Alligator mississippiensis: one gene and its partners. The protein of the gene in region 1 interacts with the protein of each later gene in a pairwise test. Links are inferred from orthologs where the notes say so. Each region holds a gene or a part of one and is shown on either strand. Other genes may lie near its edges. The genes, in order: NTAQ1, TOLLIP, XIAP and RABAC1.

The links.
Region 2: the proteins of NTAQ1 (region 1) and TOLLIP interact in binary tests that used the Homo sapiens proteins (3 or more experiments, as listed by UniProt). The two-hybrid records come from large-scale screens. The link is inferred for Alligator mississippiensis from reciprocal best matches to the Homo sapiens genes NTAQ1 and TOLLIP.
Region 3: the proteins of NTAQ1 (region 1) and XIAP interact in binary tests that used the Homo sapiens proteins (3 or more experiments, as listed by UniProt). The two-hybrid records come from large-scale screens. The link is inferred for Alligator mississippiensis from reciprocal best matches to the Homo sapiens genes NTAQ1 and XIAP.
Region 4: the proteins of NTAQ1 (region 1) and RABAC1 interact in binary tests that used the Homo sapiens proteins (3 or more experiments, as listed by UniProt). The two-hybrid records come from large-scale screens. The link is inferred for Alligator mississippiensis from reciprocal best matches to the Homo sapiens genes NTAQ1 and RABAC1.

Annotation. Positions count from the first base shown.
Region 1 is NC_081826.1:20,601,392-20,609,312, reverse strand, and holds the start of NTAQ1 (protein N-terminal glutamine amidohydrolase), read left to right. Parts: upstream 1-4,910; 5' UTR 4,911-5,312; coding exon 5,313-5,386; intron 5,387-6,835; coding exon 6,836-6,935; intron 6,936-7,353; coding exon 7,354-7,404; intron 7,405-7,921. UniProt on the Homo sapiens protein: Mediates the side-chain deamidation of N-terminal glutamine residues to glutamate, an important step in N-end rule pathway of protein degradation.
Region 2 is NC_081825.1:186,447,842-186,455,262, forward strand, and holds the start of TOLLIP (toll-interacting protein), read right to left. Parts: upstream 3,006-7,421; 5' UTR 2,898-3,005; coding exon 2,865-2,897; intron 1-2,864. UniProt on the Homo sapiens protein: Component of the signaling pathway of IL-1 and Toll-like receptors. Inhibits cell activation by microbial products. Recruits IRAK1 to the IL-1 receptor complex. Inhibits IRAK1 phosphorylation and kinase activity.
Region 3 is NC_081831.1:71,243,575-71,250,917, forward strand, and holds the start of XIAP (E3 ubiquitin-protein ligase XIAP), read right to left. Parts: upstream 3,012-7,343; 5' UTR 2,997-3,011; coding exon 2,971-2,996; intron 1-2,970.
Region 4 is NC_081838.1:29,452,010-29,459,753, reverse strand, and holds RABAC1 (prenylated Rab acceptor protein 1), read right to left. Parts: upstream 3,017-7,744; 5' UTR 3,002-3,016; coding exon 2,892-3,001; intron 2,491-2,891; coding exon 2,383-2,490; intron 2,128-2,382; coding exon 1,900-2,127; intron 1,498-1,899; coding exon 1,400-1,497; intron 1,145-1,399; coding exon 1,043-1,144; intron 737-1,042; coding exon 648-736; 3' UTR 455-647; downstream 1-454. Other genes in the region: cornifelin homolog, read right to left, coding at 3,287-3,376, 3,993-4,129, 4,273-4,414. UniProt on the Homo sapiens protein: General Rab protein regulator required for vesicle formation from the Golgi complex. May control vesicle docking and fusion by mediating the action of Rab GTPases to the SNARE complexes.

The DNA of each region.
Region 1 (7,921 bases):
CCAGGACATCACTGGGAAGCAGGAGACGGGGCTTCCCTCCACTTCTGCATGTCCCAGCAGCTGCATGTGGCAGCAGGAATCGGGGAAGGCAGCTGGCTCCGTTGTGCCGGGTCTTCCCACAGTGGTGCATGAGGAGCTGCACGAGACGCAGGAAGCACTGCACAGTAGAGATGGGCCAACCTTGCTCCACTCCATGCCAGCATGTGCAGCTCCTGGAATTGGCTGGAGCTCAGCCAGACCCCCTCACAAGCCCCACACACACTCCCCACACCCCACCGTACACCCCCACCCATCCCTCAACCACACACCACACATGCCCCTCCACACAGTATACAAGAGTAAGACTATAGTTTGAGATATTATGCAATCACCTTTATATACACCATGCAAACACACATAAATCAGGACAAAAATAGTTTTTGACAAAACTAAAATACATTATTGTAGATGTTTGACTTTTTTTTATATGATTTGGTTGTTTTCGGTTCCAAGAGGAAAACTGTGCCCGCCCCCCCCTCCAAGGAGTACTTCTGGGGCAATGGGAGGGACTTCCAGTGGCAAAGGTCAGGGGTTAGGGGTGGGACTTCTGGTCCCAAGATGGCGACCGGGGGCGGGGCACATTTCAAGGGGCGGGGCTACCCTTGTGGCCCTCAACAGCTCACCAAAATTCATTTAGCAGCCCTCCAACTGAAATAATTGCCCACCCCTGAGCTAGACTGTTCTCAATGGTAGCAGATGACAGAACAAGGAGCAATGGCCTCCAGTTGCAGCAAGGGAAGTTTTGGTTGGAACTTAGGAAAAACTTTTTCACTAAGAGGGCAGTAAAACACCGGAACAGCTTACCAGAGAGGTGGTGGAAGCTCCATCCTTGGAGGTTTATAACACCCCACTTGACAAAGCCTTGGCTGGGATGATCTAGTTGGGACTGGTCCTGCTTTGAGCAGGGGGTTGGACTAGATGACCTCCTGATGTCCCTTTCAACCCTCGTTTTCTATTGTTCTGTAACAAAGGCAGGGTAGGTTTGCACTGTATAGACCAGGGGTGGGCAAACGGCAGATCTGGCCTGCAGCTGGATCCCATTGCCCAGCAGCCCCTGCCCACACAGTTGTGGCCCGTTTCCATGGAGACCCCAGCAGTGGGGTCTGTGACAGTGTGGGGCCAGAGTTTCCATGGAGACCGGCCCCAGCATGCAGCTGGGCGGGGAGAGGCTCTGTGGCCGGGGCTGGAATCTTGCCGTGGTGACAGCGTGGGCTGGAGCTGGGGCAGAGCTGTGATCCGCTGCCTGCACATCCCAGCCTGGGGTGTGTGGGCCACAGATCGCAGCTCTGGCCCAGTTCTGCAAGATCCCACTGCAAGATCCCAGCCCCAACGCAGCTCCCCACCCAGCTGCATGGCTTGTCAGCTCTGCTGAGGCAGATCTCCATGGAAACCCTGGCCAGCGCCCCCGCTGCTGGGGTCTCCATGGAAACCATCCACAGCGATGCAGGTTCCATAGCCTGGACTTTACTCACCTCTGTTATAGACTAACCAAAATAGATATTTATCTAGCACAGGGGCAGATCTGGGAAGCGCAAGGTTGCAGTCACACCTCCCACCTTTGATTCCTCTTCCACCCAAGACTTAAAATAAAGGGCCTGGCAGTGGCAGCAGCATTTCTATTCAGGTAGCAGTGAGGGAGTCACTTGACTTCATGGCTCATTATCATCTACTTGATTCTTTCTAAGCTCTTAATTCCACAAGCCTTTCTGATTTGTAAATGGTCTTGCCATACCACTAATAAAGCTAGCCTTTCTTCTTTAATTCTCCTGTCTTTTAGCTGCTCCTGATAATGTAGCTCCTATTTCACAGCCCTGCAAACTGTTTTTAACTTTTGGTGCAAACATTAACTTGGGTGAACATCAACTCAGGTGTAAAATTAACTTTCAGTGAAGCACTGCATTCTAGATTCCCTACCTGCTCACCTCCCTGACCTCCCAAGTACAGAAGGCCAAATTCAGCCCATGACAGCAAGGTTCCTATTTGATGGGGGGAAACACATCTGGACATATTGTAAGAGCCATTTTGGAGATTAGAGTTCTGTTTAATAGTTCAGTCACACCTGCTTGCATAATTAATGGATTAGGAAACCCAAAATCATAGGATCATAGGAAGGGACCTCACAAGGTCATTTAATTTAGCCCCCTACTCAAGGCAGGATTATCCCTGACTAAAACATCCCAGCCAAGTGTCTGTCCAGACTGTTTTTGAAAGTTTCCAAGGATGGAGATTTCACAGCTTCTCTAGGTAGCCTGTTTCAGTGCTTCACCATCCTCATAGTCAGAAAGTTCCTTCTAATCTCCAAATACCTCCTCAGTCTTCTCTTTTCCATACTAAATAATCATCAGCATAAAAAGGTTTTCCCTTTTCATATATTTTTCATATATGATTCCTTTTCACAGCACTAAGCCACATCTCGGGCTGTCATCTGGGACCGAAACGAAGATCTCAGACCCAAAGCATAATCCTCTACTAGTTTTAGTAGCAACAAGTTCTTGATTTTAAAAAAGGCCTAATTGTAGGTTCCTAATCCATTAGCTCTTAAATTATGGCCTGGTTACCAACATTTTCATTAAAACTGGCTACTAAATACATTTTTCTATCTTGTGGTTCTGATTTGGGAATACACTACTAGTACTATATGGTTCAACTGATAGGGGAGAGAGGACAAAGACCACACTGTCTTCCAAACAGACATTGTTACACTATACTTTCCAATCCAAAATAAAATTATTTTAATGAAAAGCAAACCCGTTTTCTTCAAGACTGTTTTTTTACTTCCCTCCTCTTTAGCAAGAAAATGCGTGAAGAGTTCACATGAAGATTTTAGTCCCAAAAAAAGAAAAAAGAGAAAAGTTCAATATATTTCAGTTAGAAATGGGCATCAGCCAGAAACCTCACATCTGTACACTCCAAAATTCTCTTATCCACACATTTAATTGGAGACCTCACCATGGTTTTGATGTGAAGCCAGGAGTTTTAAGAACTGTCTTGTTCTGGAAAAATTTTTTGAGGGTGATATCTTTTATTAGATCAGCTATGCAGTTGGAGTAAAATTAGATAAGCTTTTGAATTCTTTCCCAGAGACCTGTCTAAGTGTCTAACTTTCTTCCAACTATACAGTTGGTCCAGTAAAAGATATCACCCCCTCCTCCCCCCCCCCAAAAAAAAAACAAACCCCACAACCTTTCCTCTCATATTTCCTGGAATATCACTGGTATTTCACTCCAACCTTACCAAAACATAATTTTTCTCACAGCCTTAAGCAGTTGGAGAAAGTGTCAGGCCTGCTTTGAAAGTTGCGCAACAGGATGTACAGGGGCCATAGTAGCTGTGAAAATAGAAAACAGAAGTACTAGTAGGTCAAATATGGACAGTTTAGGTTTGTTGTCAGGAAAAAAGAAGACCTCCTTTGCAATAAGACAGGACAATTGATCATTGTGAGAAAGACCAAATACTTCTTTAAACCCCTCGGTCACTGATTTCCTTATTTCTGTGTGCTAATGAGAAGAGTTTAAAACTATAAAAGGTAAGTGACACCCAAAGCAACTTCTAGAGACCAAACACATGCAGCCCCTTTCAGTTTGACTCAAAACCCCACACACCACTTGCTTGACCTCATTTACAGTCTGAATGCTTCAAGGTAGTCTGGTTCAAGCCTCCCTTGCCTTAGTACACAGCATATGTCAATGGCCGGCCCAATCCCCAGATAGGCAAAGCTATTTCTCATTAGTGGTGCTCAGGTGTCCCCGTAATATCATAAGCATTTATCAATCCATAACTTTTGCATAATTAAATTTTACAAGAGACTCTGGAATGCATTTGGTAAAGCTAGCAGCTTTAAAGAAGACATTGTTTTATGGCCCAGGCATTGAGAAGCCTCAAACGTTTTGAGGTAAAGTGTCTTGCCCTCAAAGAAGAGAGAGTGGAAGGAGGAAAAGGAGAGGAATCAGCCCACAGCCTACTCTCCCCTGCGGAAAGACCTGCAATTTCTGTGGGTGGACCTCTGGACTCTAAGCCACCTCAAGACCCATCAATGAGCTGTGGCAGAGATCATCCTCCAATTGAGGGATTGCTGGTGGTAACCGAGAAGACTTTCAAGCATCTGCAAGTTCCTGGGGCTTAAAACCTAGTCCAGGAATCTCCTTCTCCTGCCACTGATTTAAATGCAACCAAGAGGAAGCACTTGCCTCTACTATGACAGTATTTGCCCCACCAGGTACCAACTATGCTTTCTCTCTGGCTGGTTTCCATGCCCCTGGGAAACTTCTTCATTGTTAAAACAGTGAGGCAGTGAAAGAGATGCCTAGGGAAGTTGTGGACTCCCCATCACTGGAAGTATCCAAGAAGAGGTTGGACAGTTACTCATGAATGCTGCGTGCCCCCGGAGGCTGTGGGGAGCATGGCGAGCTCCCACAGGCGGTGGTGGCGCTGTCAGCGGTGGCAGCGGCAAGCTCCTGCAGGCAGCTGTGGCACTGTTGGCGGCAGGGGCGGCGAGTGGCAACGGGTAGTTGGCGACCACCCGCAGATGCCGCTGGAAACAGCAGCCAGCGGCAATCAGGGACCACCCGCAGATGCCACTGGCGGTGTCCTTGGTGGGGGGTGGGCAAGCAGCAACTGCCTCCAGGCGCTTTTTGCAGGGGTGCACCACCAAGCTTTGGGGGTGCACGTGCACCTGTGTTCACCTTCTACACGTCACCAATGCAGGCACTGGTCAGGGACGATCTAGGTGTAGCGCTGTGTTCTTCTATGGGGATTTCTCAGGCTTCTGGGCTTTGCTGCTTGCCTCCACCCTTACCTTTCTGCTACCTGTTTTAAGCCTCCCTCAGAGGCACTGGGTGTTGGCAACAGCCAAGCCTGGGGACTTCGGGTGCTGGCCGGAGGAGGTTCCTAGCTGGAGGGTCTCGCCCCTCTGCTCAGGGCCAGACGGATCACCAGATTGGCGTCAGGAAGGAATTTTTCCCCCTGGTCAGACTGGTCCAGACTGGGGGGGTGCTTTTTCCGTCCTCTCTGGCAGAGCTGCCTGGCATCTCTTGAGTGCAAACTGACAGCACCAGGCAGGTCGGGCGAGGAGGGCTGTGCCGTGTCAGCCTGGCTCGGAGCAGCGGCTCGCGGGTGCGGGTGCGGGGAGGCTGACACCGGGCTCGGGCCTCTCCCGCTCCTGCCAGGCGCAGGCTCCCTCCTCGCCCCCGCCGCCGCGCTGCTTCTTGCCGGCAGCGGTCGCTGCAGCCGGGTTTCCCGGGGAAGGAAACGCCGCGGACTCGCGCCCGGGCCCGATGGAGCGGGCGGCGGGGGCGGGCGCTGCACCTGCCCCTGCCCGGCACGGCTGCGTCTACACCAGCTGCTACTGGTAAGGGCGCCGGGCACGTGTGCGGGGGCGCGGGGCTGCCCCGGCCCCGGCCCTCCGTGCAGCCCCGGGCCGCGCTGCCAGGCGGGGCGCACGGGAGCCGGGAGCGGCCGGGGGAGCCGGTCCCCGCGGGTGCGGGCACGCACCGCCCGGCCCCGAGCAGCCCAGCAAATGCTGCTCCGGTCGGGGGGGGGGCCGGAAGGGAAACACTGTCTTCTTGAACACTACATCCCAGAGTCCCTTGCAAAGTTGAATTATGCAAAAAAGTGATCGATTGATGCATGCTTGTGATATTGCGGGGGCACCCGAGAGCCACTGCTAAGAAACAGCATTGCCTATCTGGGGACTGGGCCGGCCAGTCGCATCTTGCTGTGGGCTCAGGCATGGGAGGCTCCAGCCAGGCTGCCTGGCCATCCAGGCTGTAAATGGGGTCAAGCAAGTGGTGTGTGGGGTTTGGGTCAGCTGGGTCCTCCCCATCCAGACCCCGCTACCCCCGCGTACCGTGCTCTCAACTCTGCATGTGAACACCCCAGCCTGCCCCGGGGGAGAGCAGGGGCGCCACAGCAGCCGGCGTCCTGCCTCTATGACATGTTGTCCGTTTGCACTCAAAAGATCCTGGGCAGAGCGCCAAGCCCCCTGCTATAAAGGAAGGCAAAAGCCCTCCCAAGCCTGTACCAGTCTGACCAGGGGGTACAATTCTTTCCTGACCCCACTGATGATGGGTCTGACTGAGTGGAGGGGCGAGACCCTCCAACCAGGAACCTCTGGCTTTGGTCCCAGGGGGAGCACTGGCGCACCCCAGAGTCCCCAGGCTTGCTGTAGCTAACCTCCAGTGCCTCTGGGGAGGCTTAAAAACACCCTGACACATATAGCAGAAAGGTGGGGTGGGGTAACCAGCAAAGCCCAGAAACCTGGGAATACCCACGAAAGAACATGGGCACAGCTACGCATAGATCATCCCCAACCAACGGCTGTTCAGTGGCATTGTTAGGATTGTTTCTGTACTATCCTTCTATTTAAAACATTACATGCGTTTCACCACCTGCATTTCTCTTTTCAGGCCAGCTTTTTATTAAAGGGGCTCAAAGGGATACTCAACTCAAGGGTAATTTCTTCAGAGGAAAAGAGAAAGGGAAAAGTCTGGCACAATGCTAACTCTCGATACTGCACAGCATTTATTTTAGTTGGAGCCAACCAAATGCTGCTGCTTAGCCGTCAGACATTTGGACTGCAATACTGTTTATTAATTGTATGTGAAGATTTGTGTTATAAAAAAAACACCGTAGGTCTAAGTTCTAAATTTTATCTTTACAAACAGGTGTGTAAAGGAAGGGTCGGCGGGAAGTCCTGGGCAGAAGCTCAAAGTGGGAAAAGCACAGTGGCTATCCTGCTCTGAGTTTTATGAATTGGGAATGAAGCAGACATTTAAATAAAATCCCTTGTGTTTTACAGTGAAGAAAATGTTTGGAAGCTTTGTGAATACATCCAAAGCCAGGATCAGTATCCATTAGAAGAATTTTATGTTATTTTCATATCCAACGACAGAAAGATGGTAAGTTGTTTTCCATATCACTCATTTGTCACCACCAAATTGAGATTCAGGCCTTTTCACTGTGGTGGGAAGATGGCCCAGGCACATGCATAATGGGAAGCCAAAGAAAGACCCTAAAGTATTTTTGTCATGCATGTGTGAGTCAGGACTGGACAGGAACCTGAGATGTATTAAATCCCTCAGCCTAGTAGGAAACAGATGGAACAGATTGTAGGATACAAAATAGATCCCCAATTAGGAACTCACCAAAAAAACCCTCAGACTAATAGAAGCTTTATTATTATGATTATTACAGATAAAACATAAACCAATTAAGTTTGTCAGCCAGTAGACAATAATTTGTCCTGTAATAGTCTGAAATCTTACCTGTTTGTTTAATCTTACTTCAAAAGAACTTCTTAATACTTGTAATTTGCAGATACCACTTTGGAAGCAGAGATCAGGATGTGGAGATAAACCTGTAGTTTGGGTAAGGCATTCTATTCCCTTTTATGTTGGTTCTTTTACATACTTTTGTCTGCAGTGTTGTATCATCTTTTAGTAGCACATTAAACACTGCAACTAGCATTGCCACATATTTCTCCTAGTATTTCTTCCCTAAATCAAATATTGATGTGGGCATAATGGACAAGATGCACTTAGACTTTATCTTGCAGCTTCACAGCAAGAAGCTTAGCAGTCCTGGGCCTGGCAAGTAGTAGGCAACTGTCAATCCTCTGGAGCATGGTGTACACATAAGAGTAGTCAGATGCCTGATCCAACGCCTGACTGACAAGCCCAGTTTGAGAGTGACACAGCTTGTTACAAGTTTCATGGATCCATATGTTGTCTGAGTTGGAGTCCATATTTACAGCGTGCTGCTTTCTTCTTTATTGCTTTGCTTCCATCCCCTGGATCGAAGCTGCTTGATGTTAAGCTGCACCCAGTGACATGTATGGATAGGTTTCTATGTGCTCCTCCCAGCTTTCTATGTTGATGTTGAGCCA
Region 2 (7,421 bases), on another chromosome or scaffold:
ACTGTATCACAACACACCTAATGGGGTCTCCCAGCACCCTGATTGAGAACCATGTCTAAATAATTAACATTTCAAGTTAGAGACAGAAAAGATGACACAGTTACCCCACTTAAAAGCTGGCATGGAAGTGGATAGGAGGGTTGAAGAGAGGACTGATACCAGATTGAGCAGCATCACAATAGTTTCATCTGTTCCCTCCTAACCCCTAAATTGAGGCAGAGCAAGTTTGCCTTGTTTGAAGCAGTGGTTACTTACTGCAATTCCTTTCACTAGCTCTGGGTTAGCAGAAATGTAACAGTCTTATCTTATGAAACGTTATTAGGCACTAGGTAAAAGTGTCAAAAGTGAGTTCGTGTTCACTCTAGAACAGAAAACAAATAAAACTGTTTTTAATGCCAAATAAGTAATACATAAATAGCAGTTTTACAACATATGTTTTTTACTTGGAAAAATTAAGATTAGTAAAATAAATTGTGTGAAAAAGGATCAGTGCATCTTTAGTGACAGATGTGTGTCAGAACTGGCCTAGAGACCTAGTATCCCATCATCAAGGTATGGTGTTAGTATAAACAAAATTGATTGCTTTGCCTTCCATATTCAAGAAAGATAAATTCAAAAAGAAGCAGGTACAGAGAAGGGCTACTTGGCTCTCCTTTTTCTCCCAATATCTTATCTTTGGAAGGGAGACTAAAAAAGGTTGGTTATTTAGCCTAGCAAGATGAAAATGTATCAGGATGGACACCAGAGGGATGTGAAAAGATCAGTCAGGCTAAATGACAATATTGACACAAGTACAAACAGGTTTAAAGTTTAGTCAGAAACCAATTTCTGTCTTACCAGGAGAGCAAGGTTCCAAGGTTCTTTATCAGTTTGTATCACAGTTACCAACAATAACAGAGACTAGTCTCTCTGTGCCTATATACATGCAGGGAGGCTGCTCGGACATGCTCTAATTACAGTGTGTCGGAGCAGACTCAATTAATTGAGTCTGCTAGAACATGGCAATTACCGCTCTCCAGCAGAAATGAGCATCATGTGGATCAACGTCCTTGTGCTGAAAAATGGCAACAGGGGCACTTTAACTACAGCCCCCATCACCCCTCAACTCCCAGAGCACCCTGTGGTCCCTTCCAGTCCTGAATGCAGAGAGAACCAAACTAAGGAATCAAACTGCGTATTTTAATCTCATAAGTTTAGAAACAGAAATTTCCCCCATTCCCCCCCCCCAGTAACACTAGTCATTTTTTTTTTTTATAAAAGTACCAGATATTGCAAATTACATAATGAAATACAGCAGCCATTATATATTCTGCCATACATACATTCTTTATATTTCACCTGAACATTTATCAGAAGAGGGCAGAAGGAATTTCACTTTTAATACATCTGAAAAAATAAGCTGCAATTAGGAATGTTTGCCATGTACATATAAATGAGAACTACAGATCAGAAAGTGTAGGCATAAAAATAAGTCTGGTGGCATTCTGTCATGTACTCCCAGACACCCACGTCCAAGACAACCTTGGAAAGCTTCCAGTTTGAGCAAGCTAGAAGGATAAAGAGGTAACACTCTCTGCAGCATTAGAGCATTAGACAGGACCTTGTATTTAGCCTGTTAGCCCCCTTTAGTGTCTACTTACTGACATTACAGTTTTGGAAGATGCTGTTTGCCCTCCATGTCACAAGGAAGGAATATAGAAACTGCATTAGTTTTTCTGTGGAAAGACTATCAGGAAAGGGGATATACATAGTCTTGAAAGGCTGCTCTTCTCCAGTAGAAAGGAAACCGTTTTATATATGCGGTCACGGATTTGAAGCAAGAGCCCTTTTGGGGTTAGTGGAGAGGAAAGTCCAGAAGCGAAAGGTTGCAGGCAGGCGCCCAGCCAAAGAAAATGACAAAAGGCCTCCCTCCATATAAAGGCTTTAGGGCCTAGCAACGAAAGTTAACAAAATCCATTTGTAAAGAGAAACATATTCTTAAAGAGCTAACACAAAGGGGAAACCGCAGGAAACGAGATCACTAACACACTTCCATCATCATCAGATAAGGCCAGTGTAACAAACAACCTAGTCTTCTTGCCTCTCAGCATCACTACATAAGTCCGCTAGTTTGCTCAGCCTAGCCATTTTGTTCCCTATAAATACCTGAAGACCAGGGTTCAATTGTAAATAGACGTACTAACACAAAATTCAGACTGCCCCCAGACGCAGGCAAGGACGAGAGAACTGGAACAGAAGAGTAAAGCAGGGTTTCATCACACGTCTGTGTCTGTGGTAACACTGGAATGATGCTGTCGCAATGTCCAAGAAACTGGATTTTGGGGGCAGGGTGTCTCTGGGCAGATCAAATGAATGACTGGTGAGACCGGAAGAAGTGCTCTTGCGCTTGAACACTTGGTGTCTCAATGCAGCCCCACTCGATCCATGGTAGAATCAGAAGCCCAGGGCTGCAAGGGACCTCAGGAGGCCCACTCCAACCCCCTGCCCAAAGCAGGATCACACTCCAATGGTGCCACCCGCCCCCTGTCACATCTCGAACAACGTCACCTAGCAGAGGGTGGTCCTAGCAGCCAGGGCCGAGTGGGACACCCCTGTGTGCCGCCAGCACAGGCTCCTGGGAGGGTAAGTCGTCCTCGATCCCGGTGGTTCTCAGCCTTTTTTGTACCAGGACCCGTTTACAAACATCGACGGCCAGTCCCGACCCAGAGTCCCCCTCCCCCAGCACGTGGGGCAAGGGAGGCCCCAAAAAGGGGGGGGAGGGGAAACCACGCATGCGCACACACAGCGGGAAATCCTCAGGGCCTCCCCCCCCCGCGGGGCCGAGACTGGGGGGGCCCAGTTGCCCGCTGCCGGCCGACACTCACCGGGCCCCGCTGGGTGCTGACAGTGGTCGCCATAGCGCCTCACTCGGACCAGGAACCTCCGCCTTCCGCCCGGCCAGGCCGCCGCTACCGTTAACAGCCTCCGAACGCCGAGCTCCGGAGTCAGCTGACGCGCCCCGCCCCACCCCGCCCCGTTATTCGCCGCTGCGCATGCGTGATGCAACGGGTGGTTAGCTTGTGAGTTGACTTCTCCTCCTGCCCCGTCTGACGCCCTCGCAGTGGCGGCGTGGCCTCCGCGCATGCGCTGGAGGGGACGGGCGGGGCGCCCGTGGTGAGAACGTGGCGCATGCGCGCTACGACACTCGTGCTCTCTTACTGCCCCCCCACCTCGGAAGCTGTGAGTTAGTCTCGCTGATGGGAATTGGCGCCTGCGCAAGAGGCTGTTATGGGACAGCGCTCTCCTGAGAAATCGGTCTCAAGAAGCTGTGTTGCGCATGCGCGAAGAGGCAGCACGCATGTGCAATACTGGTACTGGAGACCTTTCTCACTCTGCCCTTGGTGTGGATGGATCACTACCAAAGGGTGGGGTTCAGGGTGCCTGGGAGTGCTGCAGTGCCTCACCTCTGCCCCACAACACAAGGCTTTCCCTCAAAACAGCTGTCCCCATGCCTGGGACTTTGACCCCTACACATATGGTAGCGCCTGCCACCAAAATGGCCCCTATACTAATACAGTCACTACCCACACACTCAGATGCATCACACTGAGGCACGTTCCAGGCTGCAGCACCACGGCCATGGCCGCCTTCATGCAGGCTGCGCCATCCGTACCAAAATGGCCACTGGCCCCAGCCCTAGAGGCAATTGCCGAGGTACCATCGCACAGAAACTCCAGAGAAAGGCCTGCCATGTGACATGGTTGCCCTAGTATATCCCAGGGTGAGCTGTCACTGTACCACACCAAAAGGACCATATCCAAGGTGCCCTGGCGCTGGTGGGAGACAATCTTACCCTGCACAAGAGATCACTGTAGGGTCTGAAGACACTCCCCATAACTAGATAGCCACCAAGATAATACTGTACACCGCTCTCTTGTGCTGTGAAGCCTCTGTCCCAAAATGAGAGCTGATCTGCCTCACGCCAGAATAGTCACTGTGCCAAATGAGGGATTTTCCTGCCAAATGACAAGACTCTAGTGCCCAGTCCTGAAATGCTTCTGCACCCTAGTTAGTCAGACACCACTGTCCTATTCCAAGATGCCCGTTGAGGTACTTCCACCCTGCTCCAAAAAAGCCCTACACAGAAGACCCACATGGATGGACACCAGTAGACCACAGTAAACCTGCTGCACTGAGTTGGACTGCCCATTACTGAGTTATCACTGTCCAGACCCAAGGCAGCATTAGAGCCAAACTGCTCCTGTGATACAGTAGTAAAGCAGGGTGCTGTAACCCACTAGGATGTGACATGGCAATATGGGGTAAAACATTACTGTTGTCACCTTGCACAGAAATATCACTGTGAGAAAGTGATGACATAGCACCAAAACATCATCTCTATCATCTTTGCTGTGCCCAAAACATAATAATTTGACAATGTAGGATCATCCTCATGTTTCATGAAAATGTCACTATGAAGTTAGTATGTCAGTGTGGCAGATACATTCCTTTGCCTTGTACTAAAATGTAACTGTGCTGCAGTGGATCATTGTTTCCATGCACCAGCACCATGGTGTTGCACAGGAAAATTGTACGTGTGGGGCTGAAATATCATGTAGCAGGGTGCCAGTGGTGGAAGATACCTCACTATTACCACTTCCTCATGCCCAGAACTTACTGGCCGCGTCTACATGAGATGCTACTGCACAGTCGTTACTGCACATTTATTTAGTACTTGTATAAATATAAACTCGTATAAACAAGTATTAAATAAATGCATAGTAACCTGAGTTACTACGCAGTAGCACCGGCAAATGCCTTTTTGGTGACACTATTGCACAGTAGCCTAATACTACTGCACAGTAGTGTCGCATCACATTTTTTGCCACGCAATGCTACTGCGCAGTAGTTATCAGGCTGAGGCTACTGCGCAGTCAGCATCTCACATAGATGCATCCACTGTGATGCAGTGTTACAAGATGGAAGTGGAACAAAGTAAATATTGCCATCAGAATACAGCATTATACAGTATGCTGAAGGAGATGGAAGGGGAACCACAATTGTTTAGTGAAATATCTGAGAAGTTGCACTGAAATGACATCATAAGGTGGCACAGTGATGGGATAATCATTCTTGCATTGTACTGAAATATCAGTACGCTGTGATTCCACAACAGCAGTGAAACAGCACCACACAGTTGCAGTGAAATGCCAATGTTATATAGCATGACAACATGAAGTTTAGCCATATCACTTTCATGTTGAACTTAAACCTTGCTTTGCTTGTTTTGCCCACACAAAATCATTATTGTTCCTGAGCAGACTTTCTTCCTAACAAAAATGAATCCTTCTAGGGGTGGAAGTAGGGTAGTAGCAAATGGTGCAGTCCGTGTCATCATGGCAGAAGAATAATGAAGAGAAGAAGATTGAGGCACCAGTCTGAGGCAGCAACCCTGGGTGGGTAGCACAAAAAGAGCAGCATCTGTGCTGTTGGCACTGCCACTGGCATGCTGTCAGCAGCACAACCACTGACACTGCCCCATGCACAGCTGCTGCCAAGAGCACTTAAGCACCCAGTTACTTCATCATAGCCTAATTGGATCTGTCCGGACAGAAGAATGAGTAAAAGCAACAGGAGACCAAGTGGAAGAATAAGACTGCTACACAGACTTCTACAGCAAGTCCCCTAAAATCCATTTAGATCTCAGAGGACCCACAGGTTCCAGCATTCAAATTTCCTGCCCATTCAGCAGATTCTCACCCACCCAATGACAGAAACATCAGTGAGGAAAAAAGGCACAGAGTTCCCCTTGCTTTGGTTTTCTAGATGACCTTAGAGGTCTCTTCCAGCTCCATGATTCTATGATTCTGCAGGCGTGTGTGATTTGGCCCTTGATGAGGAAACCACCTGTGCCCTCATGCCAGGAGTCATATCTCCTCCAGCTTGTTGTGCAATTCCAGTCTTTTCAGAAGAACAAAAGCAGCTCTAATATTCATCTGAGTGCTGTTCTGGGAGATAAAATCTGAGAATTTCAAAACCTATTTAAATAGCATAACTGTTTCCTGTTCGGATTTGCTGCATAAATTTAGTCATTAATTAAAATTCTAGTGCAGATTCCAACAGCTGGAAATAGAACAGTACAATTAAGAGCATTCCAAATATATAACAGATCTTTTTCATGCTACCATAACATATGTATGGAGAAGGAAAAAGCATCTTTTGCTTTTGTCTTGCTAGCTCTAAAAATGGACATTATTTGATATAATTGATAGGGAGGCCTTGATCAGATAATACAGTTGATACCAGATGCAAGCTGAACAGCTAGCTGAGGATAGAGGCTGTTATGTTCCCTGGTATATTTATAAATTGCTCTTCTGATGGAACTAGAATTCATTTCAAACTATAGGACTATAAATGAAGCAAAACAGACCTTTCCTTTTGCCTGTTCAGGAACCTTAAAGCATTTATCATCAACAAACAGCACTGAACATTATCATGGAACAAAAGTAAAAGGCTTAGCTATCTGCTTGCCACTGGCAAAGAAAGCAAGCCAGAAAATACATCAATTAAATTTAACAAAAAAGACCAAATTCACCCCTGACACAATTCACTCAGCTTACATCAACGGTGCTCAATCTCTGGTCTGTGGGCCAGATCCACCTTGTGAGGCCATGTCATCTGGCCCACGAGTATCCCCCCAAGTCCAGAAATTGGGGGCGGGGGGATTACAGCATTAATTATCCCTCCCATGCTGCCCAATTTCTGAACACATGGCAAGCCCCATGGGGCAGATGACATGGCCTTATCTACTAGATCATGCTGGCATGTGTCAGACCTGCTGGCATGGGGGTGTCACTCAGCAGCTGGATCCAGCTCATGATATTGGGCTGTGTTCAGGGTTGGGCCAGCTCACTGGATTGTACCCACAGACTGTGTTGACCCCACACTGGATACACCATAAACCAATCCCATGTGAGGGATCCAGCTTCACACCACTCATTTGGCCCACAGAGCTGGAAGGTTCAGCCCCACTGACTTACCTCAAAGGTGTATTTGGCCCAAGGATGCTGTCCAGTAAATGGACTGGTAGAACACCAGTGGGGTCTGTACCAAGAAAGTTTTGCAATCCCTTGTGATCTTGTGATCAATATACACTCAATCAGTACATTACGCCAGCTAGGCTGTATGTGGAGTTGGGGATCATCATAGTATTACTACATATAGGCAGCACCCCCTTTCCTCTGGCTACATGCCATGTATATAGGATTTTCTATAGAGCCCCACACAAGTGATATCTTCTAGTAGCCATTTAAACAAGGCTTCTGACTGATTTGCACCGGCCGAACAACATTAAATAGTGCGGCTGACCCAGCACAGACTCCCTAGCAAGCTTCCTTGATCGTTAATTTCTGGTAACAGCTCCCTCAAATTTAGTCTCTGAG
Region 3 (7,343 bases), on another chromosome or scaffold:
TTGTCTTTCTTGCCTGATTTAGATGCAAATTGCAGGGATGCTAGCCCCTTCTGAGGGCATGAAGCCTGCCAAGTTTCAAAGAGATGGGTGCAGAGGTTTCTCGGAAACTGCACCTCAAAGTTTTGAAAGCAAAATTTGCCAGCTGTGGGGCTGTGCTGGACTCCTCCTGGGGGTGCAGGCCCCTGGATCTGTGCTGGATGATAGGAGGCTGCTGCTGCCACCTGGGACCAGCGCTGGGAGCAGTCCATGCCCAGCGGCAGGCTCCATAGAGCTCAGCCTGGTGGCAGGAGGTGGAGTGCAGCCCCAGCTCTGCCCACTTTCTGCCGCTGGGCTGAGCTCTGAATGGCTCCGCAGCCCCATGGAGCTCAGCCTGGTGGTGGGAGGCAGAGTGCAGCCCCAGCTCTGCCTGCCTCCTGCCCCGGGCTGAGCTCCATGGGGCCATGGAACTGCTTGGAGCGCAGCCCGGCAGCGGGAGGTGGACAGAGCTGGCACTGCACTCCGATCAGCTCCGTGGGCCCCACAGGGTCTAGCCCGTGGCAGGAGGTGGGGAGAGCCAGGGCTGCGCTCCGCGCTGGGCTGAGCTACATGGGGCTGCAGAGCCGCTTGGAGTGCAGCCCTGGCTCTCCCCTGCCTCTCACCACCGGGCTGGTTCAACACACTTCGAAATGTTTCAAGTGCCCTCATTTCATTTCAAAGCTGTTTTGATGCTTTGTTTCATTTTGATTTTGCTGTTTCGAGCTTGAAATGTGTCGAAACAGCTTCGGAACAAAACAGTGAAATTTTGCACAAGCCTAGCAGGCAACTATTTTGGCTGGAGGGCTGCTTAATGAGTTTTAGTGAGCTGTTGAGGGCCACAAGGGTAACCCTGCCACATGACAGGTGCCCTGCGCCGTGGTCACCGTCTTGGGACCAAAAATCCTGCACCTTGGTATGAGTTTTAATGTAAAGTAAAAAAAAAAATCATGTGGCAAATGTCTTTCCTAGCCCCAAAGGCATTCTTGACCACATCACTACGCTGCTAGGATGTAGGTCGCCAACAGTCTTTACACTGCAGTGTTTTGTTAAGCTGTCTCTAAATTGAGGGAAATGACATGACATCAGCTCACAAATTCTCTCTCACAACCCTAAAGACTTAGAAACTTGCAGGTATTTAAAAAACAAGTAAAAAACAAAAAAAAAAACCCACTCCTCACTAGAAGCAGCAGCATATTGCTTCAAACCAGCTCTGTAGCACCTATATAGGTCAGGCACTTCAGTGGGGCATTTTTTGCTAACAGATTCAATCAGCTATTAGATAAAAGCACCAAAAAAGCCCCACTAAACCACCCAATTTTTACAGACCTCAGGCAAGCCAGGTCCACCTCCTCTGGGTTTACACAGGGCTTGGCACAGGAATGCACCAAGTTTAAAGTAAAGCACTAGGTTTTTCCCCCCACAATGTCTGCAAGCAGCCCTGATTTCTTTTAAGTGATGTTAAATTCTACAGAAATTAATGGATGACCAGAATTCTCTAAGGAATGTTTCTTCTACCCTATCAGTAAATCAAATGAAGGATTTTTCCAGCCATGATTTCAAAGAGGAAAAGTCATTGTCCACTTTTTTTAGGGGGGGGTAGAAAGTGAAGTAAGGGGAAGAACCAGAAGGCAGTTCAGATGATTCAGTTTTCCTTTTACCTTCCTACCAGTGCATCTCAGAGGCAACGCTTCTGAGAGATAAAGGTAACATTTTTAGAGGAAAAAAAAAAAAAATCTCTGTTTTATTTCTTCCTCAGCTGACCTAAACTCTCATCCATTCTTGTTTACTCATCCCATTACTTTGTCCTACTCTCATCCACCACGGATGTGCTATCAATAAATAGAAAAACAGCACTTTTAGCATCTAATGTTACCAGAATTACCCATGAACTCTACTGAAAGAGCTTTCCAAGCCACCCAACAGGAAAAAATTGCACGCTGGTAAAGAGCCCTTTTAAATAACGCCCATTTTTATGCTTTCTGACATCAATGAGATACCACATTAGCCTCACAGTACTTGCGATGGACCTGGTTTTGGAGCGCACTAATGACCGTTCTTTCTGCCACAGAGAAAATTTCTCCCACCTTTGCTTACGGAAGCCAAGGAAAGATGTGCAGAACTTCCTGAACCAGTTCTGGCCTGCGGCTCTTTTCATCAGCTTGGCTCCCATGCCATGTATATAGCTTCTAGCACGTGAACGGTTGCACGATCCTTGCACAACACCAAACAAGGTTACATCCACAAGCATAGGTAGGTAAGGAAGAAAGCAGGACACTTAAAAAATGCAAAATGAGCTTAGTTTAGCAAGCTCATACAAACAAGACAGGCCAAGACAAGCACGAGCACCCAGCAAACAAGGAAGAGAAACAGAGAAAGCTAACCAGGTCCCATCACTTTAGAGAAAACCCCAAAAGACAGTTTTGTATCGACATCAATCATGATAGGCTTAAGGAAGCAGGAAGGCATCTCTCTGATGTGGTTGATCTTCATAACACGTTTGGTTTTTCTCACAATAGGTGAACTTGGCCAAATTTGGACCCCCGCAGGAGCACCGCTTCCTGCATGAAGTCAACAGCCCTGTTGTGTTCAAGGCATTACAATAAATATTGTGACCTGCTGAAGCACCACGGCTGGGATTAGACATCCGCTCTGCGCCACAGGGTCTGCATCTTGTATGACGGCGGCGAGGTAGAAGCAGCCCCTTGTGCAAGATGTCTCACATGTCAGACTCCCCCTCCCCCCAATAAAAACAAAACAGACAAGAAAAATAAAGACCCACCAAAAGGACAGCTAACACATCTGAACACGCCTGCCTTTTTAGGGAACGAACATCAGCACTTCTAGTAAAAATGATGTTTAGCAGTTCTAGGATGCTGTATATCACCGAAATCATACCCACGATGAAATGTGAATGTCCTTTAAAGACCGAGTTGCATGCAAACAGTTGAAAACTACCTTGCAATGCATCCACCACAAAGCATCAGCACGACAGACCACCACTGAATAAAAAATAAATAAATAAACAACATAAAAATCACATTATTAAATACGTAGGGAGGAAGATCAGAGAAGAGACCGATCCAGCGCACAACCGCACGAGCAACAGGACCTTGCAAAGGAGTTTCTCAGCGCTGGCAAACCAACAGGAGATGGTTTCTAATTAACGATGGGCGAAGAAGGGGAACGGCGAGAGAGGAACGGGAATCTGCGTGACGGCGTGCGTGCGTCTGCGCACTTCAGAGGATGCGCAAAGATCATTTTAGGGCACCAAGAGTTCTCGATTTTTGCCTTTCTTTGGGTCTCAAACCAACGCGGCTACCACGTACATCCCCGAACCGGAGTGCGAGTCTCAAATGAAAGCAGTATCGTCTCTCTCGCATCAGGCCTTCGAGATCACAGGAGACCCGAACAAATGTGGAAAGTGATTTCTTTGCGCAGGAGGCGGCAGGGCACGCTGGAAACATTTGCGGGGTGGGAAAGAAAGAAAGAAAACCTTATTTTGGACGAGGAAATCCCTAATTCAGCTCTTCTCGAGTAATCCTCACCGGGAAGAGACTGGCGGCGTGGCCGGGAGAGGCGAGGGCGACCCGAGGGGCCGTCTTCGATGGGGACAAGGGGCGGTGGCGATGAAAGTTGGAGGAGCTTTCCCACGCGAGACACGCTTCTGCGAAAGTCTCGTCTTTGACAGGGCCGCGGGGGCCCGGCCCACACCAGTGCCGTGCCCCCGGGGAGCCGGCAAACCAGCCCCGGCCTCTCGCAGCCCGGCCCCGGCGGAGCCCGCAGCACCGGCCCCGGGCGGGGGAGGCCGGGCTGCCGCCCCGGAAGGGCCCCGCACCCGCACCCGCACCCCACCCCCAGCGCGGGGGACCCGGCACCCGCCGGCGGCACGACACGGCTGGAGAGGCCGCCCGCGACCCGCGACCCTCCCCCCGGAGCAGCCGGCCGGGCCGGGCCGGGGCCGCTCCCCTCACGCTGCCCCGCCGCACTTACCGCCCGCAGCACCAGCACCAGCACCAGCACCGGCTCCGGCGCGGCCGCCGAGAAGATGGCGGCGCCCAGCCCCTCCGCCCTCCTCGTAGGCGAGCGCGCAGCGCCCCCTGCCGGCCCCGCGCCTCTCCTTACACACGGGTGTGCGCGTGCGTGCGCGTGTGTATGGATTTGTGCGTGTGTGTGCGCGTATATCTGTCTATGGATACGCATGTGTGTGATGTGTGTAGGTGTAATAGATACATACCTATATACACACACATACCACATCCATATGCACATATACACACACACAAACATGTCACTATCTATTTATAGATCTATCTATACCTAGACCACTATATAGATAGATCTATCTATACACGTATACCTATATATCTATACCTATGTAAGTATAGGATAGATAGCTTTATATCTCTATATCTATCTATCTATAGATAGATAGATATAGAGATATAAAGAGATACTGTAACCATATAGATAGATAGATAGATAGATAGATAGATAAAGATATATATACACATAAAGCTATCGATCTATCTATATGGTTACAGTAACTATATAGTTCTTTAACTCAGGACACAGAGAAACCTCCATATACAGTTACTATATAGTGACATATGTTTGTGTGTAAATGTGCGTGTACAGGTACCTGTACAGGTTTTCCTCACTTTTATGCGGGTTCTGTATATGCAAACTCACTCTCATGCGATGACCTTTTTTATACCAAAAATGTGTTACATGCAAGGTAAATTCACTCTTATATCAGCAATCAGTGCAGTGGAAGCCCGCAGTCAGCTGCTTTTTGCGTTGTGGGAGTGGCGGATGCCAAAATATAGTCTCTTGTGTTGCTCTGTGCTTCTCGCTCGTTGCCCGCAACACGTGTTTCTGCAGCTGCCATCCCCATTATGATAGTGCCCTGTGCTTGTGTGTACTATCTGCTGTTGGTGAGTACCAAAATTGTCTTGCAAAAGTGGTAGAAATGGGTCTGGAGGTCAGTACACTCAAGGTCTTGGAACGTACCCTATTTGTTACATTGTAAAGTGGGATCCCTTTATGCGAATTTGAGTTTTGTGCCATTTTCCAGGAACACATGTACAGCATAAAGCAAGGGAAACCTGTATATGGATATGCATGTATATATTACTTGGTATATATGTTCCCATTAGATACACACACACTTTTTTTTTTTTTAATCTATATATAGCTATAGCTATCCATCTATGGGGGTGTAGATATACGAGTACCTGTATGTGTATACATACACAGTTACATATAATGTGGGAGTTCTGGTTGTGCTAGGCTATATGTATGCTAACTGTTGTAAGTTGTACTGCTTTTTGGCACCATAAGAGAAAAGGGGCCTCATGACTGCTGGATGACCATGGCAGGCTCATGCTTGCAGTGCCACCACTGGCATGCCCTGCCCACCTGAGCACTGCCCCAAGGCCTATTTTCCTGCCACAACTTAATGTTGTTTGAGATTAGTTGCAGGTGCTGCTCAGTGCTTTCCTCTGGCCCCTGGTGGCTCAGCCAGTAGGTCTTCTGTTGGGCTCCACCACCCCGACACCTCACCCCTTTCCACTCAGGTGGTCCACTCTGGTCTTGGCGATGTCTGGGATGGGTCGCTGGCATTGCCCATTCTCCTGGCACAGCTGCCTACACGGTCCCCTGTGGGAGCGTGGTGAGGCCTTCTTGGCCGACAAACGCACAACTTAATAATGAAACTAAAAGTGCACACATGGTGCAGGCAGGCAGGGCATTGTTGGTGCCTGCACCTAACACTCCAGTGCTCTGTGTTCAGCAAGGCAGACTTCACTTGGCCTCCTCTGGCTTTCCCTTTGTGGGTGTTCCCCAGGCAAGCTGGGATCCTAGGCCTGCTGACACCTGTCACGGGATGGGGTCACCAGGGATGGCCGTGATACCCCTATGGCTCCCTGACCATGCCAATCCTGCCCAATGGGCACCTTTTCTTGCCTGCCACATCTTCATGTAACTTTATGAAATAGGGAAGCTGCCCTCAAATTTGTTTGGACATGGTCTCGATGGACCCTACTGAACCCGGTGGGTTCTTGGACGCTTTTTGGGTCCCGCTCCAAAAGGGATGTCTCAGGACACCCTCAGCTTCATGGGCTACATGCATGGCTCCAAACCATCCCTTTACCATGCCCCAAGCCTCACAGATGGCATTCACACAGTGTCCCTCCAAGGCCTTAGTTTCACTTGGCGTCTGGTCAGCACTGGGCTCTCCGCAGCCTTGTCTCCTTCTCTCCACACCCCTCGGTGCTAGGATCCATGCACCCCAGATACTGCGCCCACACTGGCGCTGGGGTCCCCACACTGTAGTGGGTCCCCAATGAGACCTCCTCCTTCCCCAATAGCCTCAGCCCAGTCTACTGGCCTTACAAACAGAAATCAAAATACAAGCCCCTGGGCTATAACATAATTCAAGCAGCTCAGGGTGTGCTCTGTCCCTTGAAAAGAACCACTCTTCCCCAGCACTACAGGCCTTGTAGGCCAGGGTATCTGGTGAGCTCCCAAAGTCCCTTAATCTTACCAGAAGCAAAAAGACAGTCAGGCCTCTTCCCTTAACTTTTTCTAGAAGAGCTCCTTCCCCCTTGACTACTGGCAAAGAACTGACTCTCTGGTCTCAGCCCTGGGGTTTATATGAGCCCAGGGCCCTGCCTCTTCCAGTCAGCTGACCAGGTGCAGGTGCAGGCTAATTTGCTCGTTAGCCTGTTGCCATGGTAACCTACACCTGTGGGCTTCTGGCTGGCTCTTTGGGCTCTCTCCCCAAGCAGTTTCTGGTCTTAGAGGAGCAGGCACCTTAGTGCCCTGTGACAGCACCCGGCCATTTACCCCAGTACTTCAGGCTATGTCCTCTCACGCTCTCAAGGATCCTCTGTGACCTCTGCTTCCCTACCAGTGGATTTTGGGTCTGTACCCACTCAAACGCAGTGGCTATAAGGATCCCAGGTGGATTTTCTTCCCCATCAGGCTCTACCAGTCCTTCTCGGGCTGGCCTCTCATCCCAGCTGCCCATTTGTGCCACAGGTTGGTGAGCCCTACATGACAAAATCAAGATTCAGTTCCCAAAGTTTGGGTATTGTACAATACAGTGCCTTCATTTCTAACAAGTGTGACTACAGGGATTAAAATATTTTTTAGAAAGCAAAAAAAAAGCACTACATCTGTGGTGAGAGCAGTCAGGCTGACTCTGATTCCCAAACAGCTTGGCCCACTTCTATTTCAGAGTTTGAAACAGAACAGGGAAGCAGTGAGTAGTTCACTGGACCAAGATTAATGGTCTCTCTGGTTACTTAGCAGTAAAAACAATCATG
Region 4 (7,744 bases), on another chromosome or scaffold:
CACTAATCCCCTAGACCCCAGAGCAGGGAAGAACCCAGGTGTCCGGGCTCCCAGCCCCCACCTGCCCTAAGCAATCCCCCCCACCCCCCTCCCCTAGCTGGAGAGAACCCAGGTATCTTGGCTCCTAGCTCCCACCTACTCCAAGTCATCCCCCCAGCCTCCTTCCGCAGCTGGAGAGCACCCAGGCGTCTGGGCTCCCAGCCCCTGTTGCTCACCCCCCAGCCCCCAATCCCAGCCCATAGCTGGAGAGAACCCAGCTATCCAGTTCTCAGATCCCAGATCTCAGTTCCTGGGAGCAGAATTGGACAATGACCCAGGTGTCCAGGCTCCCAGCCCCTGCTCCAACTCCAAACACATCATAGACACATGGTGCTGGGAGGTGAGCGGGGCGTGCCATGTGCACAAGGCGTGTGTGCTTCAACACTGCCCCATCCCTTCCACACAGGACACGAGCTCGCACTCAAAAGGGCTTTATTAGCATCAAGAGGCCTCCCGTGGAGTGGGGAGGCCCAGATACCTGGGTTCTCCTACTGGGAGAGCGGGGGCAGAGCTGCAGCGAAGGGGGCTCCAAAGAGCTGGTGGGACAGAGGAGAGGCCAACATAGGGGGGCAGACTTGGGGGGCAGAAGGGGCCGCTGGGAGTGGAATTCACACAGGCTCCATCTGCAGCTCTTCGCCCTCGGCCGGCTCGGTCTCGTAGAAGGCGGCGTGAGAGCCAATGACCACCAGGGTCGCGCCTGCGGGGTCAGGGATAGGCACGGGAGACAGGAGGATGGGGGGGGGGGGGGGGCCGTAAGTACCCCACCCCACCTGCCCAGCTGGTGCCCCTCACTCTCCACCCGCATCCCCCTGGCCGCTCTCTACAGCCCTGCCGGTGTCCCCCACTCCCAACCCACAGCCCTTGCCCATCCCAGCCCTGCTGTTGCCTCTCACTCCCAATCCAAAGTCCCCCACCCCGCTACAGTCCTGCCGGTACCCCTCACTGCCAACCCGCAGCCCAGTGCCTGCCCTGCAAGCTGGAGGGGGGAGGTTCCCTCACTCACCCAGAACCCAGAAGACAGCCGATCCAGCCCCCGCCACCCAGAAGAGGGGGAAGGAGACACCTCCGGCCACTGCATACTGCTGCCCGGCGCTCAGCTCACGGCCTGGGAGGGGGGTTGAAATGGGAGGGTCAGAGGTACCCAGCACCACCCTAACCCCAGACCAGCCCCACTACCAGAGGCAGCCCACCATGCCCAAGGATTGGGCCCGGGCCCTATGGAAAAGACCCAATCCCCACCCTCCCCAGGTAGCTCAATGCCCCCTCTCCCCTGCAGCCAGAGGAACAAGCCCCTGCCCTATGCTCCCCTCCCCTCCCCCTGCTGCCTTCCCAGGATCAGGCCTGGATCGGGCCCCCTCACCCAGGACCACGAGTGGCCCCTGCTGGGCTCGGACGTGCAGGACGTAGCAGGCGCCGAGGAAGACAGCGAGAGCCACCACCAGCAGCGGGGACGTGATGCTGGGGGGGGACACAAGGGTAAGTGGGGGGGGGGGGAGCAGAGCTCCCAGGTGACCTCGATCCACTCCCCTGATCACCTGCCATGCCAGCGCTCATAAGACATCCTGGCTTCCTCAGCTCCCACCCCTGGGGGCAGGTTCAGGGCCCAGGTCACCAGAATCCCACTCCACCCGCCAGGATCTGGGCTTGTCCCCCCAGAATTGCGGGGGCCGGAGGGGGCAGATCAGCTTCCACTGCCCCCATCAGGACCCCAACCCCCAGCATCGGAGCCCCGCCCCATGCATCCGGCCCTGGCCCCGCCCCCTGCAGGATGGGTCTCTTAACCCACCAGGCTCAGACCCTGCCCCCCAATAGAAGCGGGCCCCCTCCCCGCCCCGCGGAGCCCCGGCCCCGCCCACTCACAGGCAGTAGAGCGCCAGGGCGGCGGCCACGCACGCGTAGTTGCCGTGGAAACGCTGCGCGTTACGGGTGACGCGCCGGCCCAGCTCCGCCGCGTCCCGCGGTTTGGCGAAGCGGCGCGGGTCCAGGAGCCGCGGCCACGGCCGGACACCCCCGCACCGGCCCAGCCAGCCCCGCGCCCGCGCCAGCCCCGCGCCCAGCGCCGCGCCCGGCCCGGGGGGCGGCGGGGACCTGCGGGGGACGGGGGTGAGACCCTGCGGGGGACCCGCCCCCCTCTCCCGGGGGCCCGCACCCCCCCCCGAATCCCCGCACCCCCCCTCCCGGGGGCCCGCACCCCCCCGCGTCCCCGCATCCCCCCGCTCCACACACCGCCACTGGAGCCCCGCCCCCCCCCGGGGTCCCGCATCTTCCCCCCCTTTCAGCCCCGGGCCCCGCACCCCGCCACCACCTCCGCCCCCACCCCCCCGAGCCCCGGGGTCCCCGCACCTGGCCCCGGGCGCGGGCGGGTCGCTGTCGCTGTCGCTGCCCGGGTGGAAGAGCTGCTCCGGGCTGGCGGGGCCCTTCCCGGCCATGGCGGCGGGGCCCGAGCCGGGCCTGGGCGGGAGAGCGGGGGGCTGGGAGCTCCGGGGCGGGGCTGAGCCCCTTTACAAGCCCCTGGGGCCCGATCCGGGCGGGGGGGGGCGCAGGTCCCGCGGGGACTCGGCCCCTTTTAGAGCTTCCGGGACCCGACGCGGCCCGGTGCGTGCGCAGTGCCGGGGGCAGGGGCGGACACGGCCCGTAGGGGGGTCGCCGATAGGGCCCTGCTCCGGGGTGGTTCCGGGGGGCAGGGCCCGATCCGGAGTGCCCAAGGGGGCCCGATCCGTGCCCGTGCAGGGCGGGGCCGGCCCCGATCCCGGTGTGTCCCCCCCCGCCCCCCAGCAGGGATGCGCGGTCCCTGCATCCCGGGTCGCCATGGTAACGGGTCCCCGCCGCCCGCCCGCCCGCCCGCCCCTCACCTGCGTCCCGAGCCGGAGCGCGGCTGTCGGCGTGGCAACGGGTAACCGACGCTGCGGGGGGGGCGGGGCGCGGGGTATGCCGGGAGCCAGAGGCGAGGGGCGCGAAGCATGCTGGGAAATAGAGTCCGGCTCCTCCAGCGCCCCCCTTCCTGGAACGTGGGGATGGGACATGCCCCTCCCACACACACCCCTTCTGAGCCTGGGGCGGGGCTCCTTTAACAGATTGATTTGCATATATGCAAACAGATGCCACTTTGAAACGGGGAGAAATAAGGCTCCGTCCACAGCGCGGCTCCAATCAGCTCTTTATTGAGGTGTCAGCGGGGAGCTGGGGTAGGGTCGTTTGCGTGAGCTCATTTGCATGCATGCAAATCTGTGCAAATGACCGTCCCCCGTCACTGCCGGGCGTCTTGCTCCCGGGAAAGCTGGCACAGGCCGCAGGGCAGGCAGCAAACCATCACCAGCCAATCGTCGCACACAGAGCCCTGGGGGGGCAGAGGGAAGCTGGTGCCCCTCACGCCAGACCTGCAGCCCCCCCCCCTTCACCCCCACTGCCCCCCACTCCCGACCTGCAGCCCCCCTACATCCCCGCTGCCCCTCCCGCCCAACCTGCAGCCCCCCTACACCCCCGCTGCCCCCCACTCCTGACCTGCAGCCCCCCTACACCCCCGCTGCCCCCCACTCCTGACCTGCAGCCCCCCTACACCCCCGCTGCCCCCCACTCCCGACCTGCAGCCCCCCTACACCCCCGCTGCCCCCCACTCCTGACCTGCAGCCCCCCTACACCCCCGCTGCCCCCCACTCCTGACCTGCAGCCCCCCTACACCCCCGCTGCCCCCCACTCCTGACCTGCAGCCCCCCACTACACCCCCGGTGCCCCTCACTCCCAACTCACAGCCCTCTGTTTGGTGCCCCTCACTCCTGACCTGCAACCCTTCACCCTTGTCTGGTGCCCCTCATTCCCAACCTGCAGCCCCTTCCACTCCCTCTGGTGCCCCTCAATCCCCTCCCCACAGTGTCCTTCACTCCTGACCCGCACCCCCACCAATTCCCCCCGGTGCCCCTCACTCCCAACCCGCAGCCCCCCTGTCCCACACCCACCTCGATGCGGTAGCGCTCACGGATGCCGGTCCGCAGGGCCACCAGGGCCCCGGGCAAGCAGGGCAGCAGGCAGGTCTGGCCGAAGCGCTCCGAGACCCGGGAGGCCAAGATGCAGGGCACCAGCGCACCACACAGACCTGGGAGTGGGGCACACCTCTGGGAACCCTGCCTTGGATATCCAACCCAGAGACACCCCCCTCCAGAGGTGCCCCTAGGGGACCCCATTCCCCTAGGGCACCTGAGACCCCCCCCAAACCCCCAGAGCCACCCCCCTACTCACAGGTGCCCACGTCAGAGCAGCAGTCGCAGAGCTCGGAGCTCCAGGCCCCCCCCGGCAGCGCCCCCACGCTGAAAACTGCCCCAGGGCCCAGCGGCCCCGGCTGTGAGTCTACAATGATCTCCGTCTGGTAGGACATGGTGGTCTGGGGGGGGAGGGGAGGTTAAAGCAGAGACCCCTAACCCCCCCCAGCCAGGTATCTGTGGGGCAGGGAGCTGAGGGTCGGGAGTGAAGGGCACCAGCAGGGCTGGGTGGGCAGGGGGCTGCGGCTTGGGAGTGGAGAGCCAGGGGACTGTGGGTCGGGAGTGAGGGGCACCAGCAGGGCTGGGGGGGAAAGGGGCCTGTGGGTCAGGAGTGAGGGTCACTGGCAGGGTTGGAGGGCAGGGGGCCGCGGGTTGGGCATGAGGGGCATCGGCACTCCCCAACACCACCTGTGTCCTTGGCTCCTGCGCTGGTCCTGGTCCAGTCCCTTGTGCCTGGATGCAGGGGGGTGGGGGCTCGCAGACTCTATCAGCCCTGGGGCGTGGGAGCGGGCAGGGGAGGGGTGGTGAGAGCAGGGGGGGCTGGGAGTCTGGATGCCTGAGTTCTCTCCCTGGGCCCTGTGTGTGTTTGGGGTGGGGGCGGGCGGGGCAGGGCGAGGCCCCACGAGGGTCAATATTTGAGTGGGTGGCTCCGCTCCCCGCCCCGGCTGGACTTTGCCCAGGGAACGTGCCGGGGTGGGGGGCTGCTGGTCAGGAGTGAGGAGCACTTGCAGGAGTGGGGGGCAGCAGGTCAGGAGTGAGGGGCACTGGGGCTGCACCGTCAAAGGAAGCCCATCATCCAGGATGCCTGGGTTCTCTGGGAGGGCAGTAGGGTCTGGGGGTGAGAGCAGGGGGCTGGGAGCCCGGGCACCTGTGTTCCTTCCCCATTCGGGGAGGGGTGGTGTCGCAGTCAGGGCTGGCCTCCCTGGGCGCCACCTCGGCCGCCTGGGTTCTCTCCAGCTCTGGGAGAGGCTTGGGCGCCTAGGGGTTTCCACCTGCCTGTTGTCTGTCTAACTCTATCCGTCTGTCCATCCATTCAGCTGTCTATTCATCCGTCTGCCTGCCCACCCCTCTTCCTTCCCATGCCCCATAATGCCAGGATCCCCCCTGCTGAGATGCCTGGTTCTGTGGGAGAAGTGCAAGCCTGGGGAGGCGATTGGAGCAGTGCAAGGCCTGGGTCCAGGGGACTGTAGGTCAGGAGTGGGGGGGGAGTCAGGTTGGGGGGGCAGGGGGCTGTGGGTTGGGAGTGAGGTACTGGGTGCGTGCGTGTGTGGGGGGGACGGGGGGGCCTGGGTTCCCATGCTGCCTGGGGGGAGGAGGCCAGGATGCCCTGGTTCTCTCCCAGCTCCAGGTAGACCAGCACTGGGGGCAGCTGGCTCTGGGGTGGGGGGCTGTGGGGCACGGCTGGGTAGAACTGGGCTCTGGGGTCTCCAGCAGAGGGCAGCAGGGCCCCACTCGCCCTCTAATTGCACAGTTAGTTAAGTCCATAATGGATTTCAGGCCATTAAAGAACAACAGGCCCCTGGCAGCGCTTCCTACCCCTCTTTCAGGAATAGGACTTGGGCACCGGGGCTCCCTGCCTCCGCTCCCCAGACTCCCCTCCTTTCCCTCCCAGAGCTGGAGAGAGAAGGCAGGAGTCGGAGCCCCCAGCCCTGCTCTCACCCCCCAGGCGCTGCACCTCCCAGCCCTGGAGAGAGCCCAGCACCCTCCTCCACTTGAGTGTCTGGGCCTTTAAGATGGTGGCCACACCTCTTTGTGGGTCTGCCCAGGTGGGGGGCTAGATGAGATGGGGGTCCAGCTTGTCAGTGGGTCCCTGGTGGCCCTGGGGCTGAGAGGTGCTCCTGTCATTTGGGGGTGGACCCCAAATTTCCCATCAGGGTTCCTGATTGGTTCTGGATTTAGCCCCTCCCCCGCAGCCCCTGCCCACTTCCTGTGTTCAGTACCCTAGGCCCTAGTGAGACCCTCGCCTGGGTTCCCCCAGCTCTGGAGGGGAGTGGGGTAGGGTGCCAGCCGCACGGGTAAGGAAGCCAGGCTGGGGGCCACACGGTATGTCCGGCGTGGCTTTGACCTGTGGCCTCAGGCTTCCTAGGCTAGCTCTTAGGGAGCACAATTGGTCAGCGAATGAATTAACGAGCTGCTGGGATGCAAACGAGCCCCTTGGGGAAACCCCAGCCCTCAGAATCTGAGCTAGCTCAGGCTGTCCACGCCTCATTAGGACTGGCTGCCTTAGGGCAGCTGGGCTGGCTTGGGCTGGGCCCCATGCCTCCTTAGGTCTGGCTTTGTTAAGGGCCTCAAGGGCCCCAGGCCTCTTAAGGGTTGGCTTCGGTGCCAGTGGGTATCCAGCTGGGCTGTTAGCCCCTCCTTTAGGCTGCCTCTGCCTTGATCAAGAGGCCTCCAGTCCCAGCTCAGGGAGGTCTGAGCCTCTTAATTAAGTAATGAATACTAGGTGTTCCTGGATTTCTACTCTGCTTGGGACCTGCCCTGGCAGGAGAGGGGATCAGATCTGCTGGCAGGGGGGACTTGGACCCTCGGATTGTCTCCAGCCCTGGGAGGGGAGAGGAGGGGAGTGGGGTCTCAGGGGGTGAGAGCAGGGTGGGGCTGGGAGCCCGTGGGGGAGCTCTGGGAGGGCCATGGGGTTTGGGCTGGGGCGGGGAGGCCTGCCAGAAACGACGCACTGGGGCCAGGAGAGCTGGCGCCAGGTGCGGCAGGAATTGATCCCGGGGGATTAGGTTTGGTGAGAGCTGCGTGCCCCACCCAGCCCCAAAGTATAAAACCCCCTGGGCACCGGTGCCCACGTACAGCACCATGCACATCCTACTCATCCTCGGCCTCCTGGCTACGCTGCTGACTCCAGGTATTGCTGGTCCTTCTGGCCCCTGTATCCCCCCATAGCTCCGGGGGTCTGAACTTGGCAGGAGGTCTGGCCTCCTGGGGTATCCAGCGATGTTATTTGGGAGGCGAGGGGGGCTGGACTGGATGGGGAAAGGCTGATGTGGGCAGGAGGGGTGTGGGGTGGGCTTTGGGGACCCAGTAACTCCCAGGACCTCCCAGTTTCCCCCTCCCTCATGTCCTGCTCCCACCAGTCCCTTGTTTCCCTCACTCAGAGCTGGAGAAAAAACCCAGGAGTCTGGGATCCCAGCTCCCTACTGCTGCAACCCACCAGACCCCACATCCTCCACAGTGAACCCCACTCCTGTCCCAGAAAACCCAGGCTTCCCGCTCCCCCCCCACTCAGAACCCCATCCCCCTCTCCTCTCCCAGAAAACCCAGGCATCCTGCTCAAACCCCCCAGGCCCTCTCCTTTCCCAGACAACCTAGGCATCTGGCTCCCAACCCTGCATGCTCCAACCCGGCAGACCCTTGTCATCACCGGGAGCCTCAGAGAGAAGCCAGGCATCCGGGCTGGAGAGCGGACAGTCTACCCCTCTTGTGCTGAGCTCACTGCAGAGGGCTGG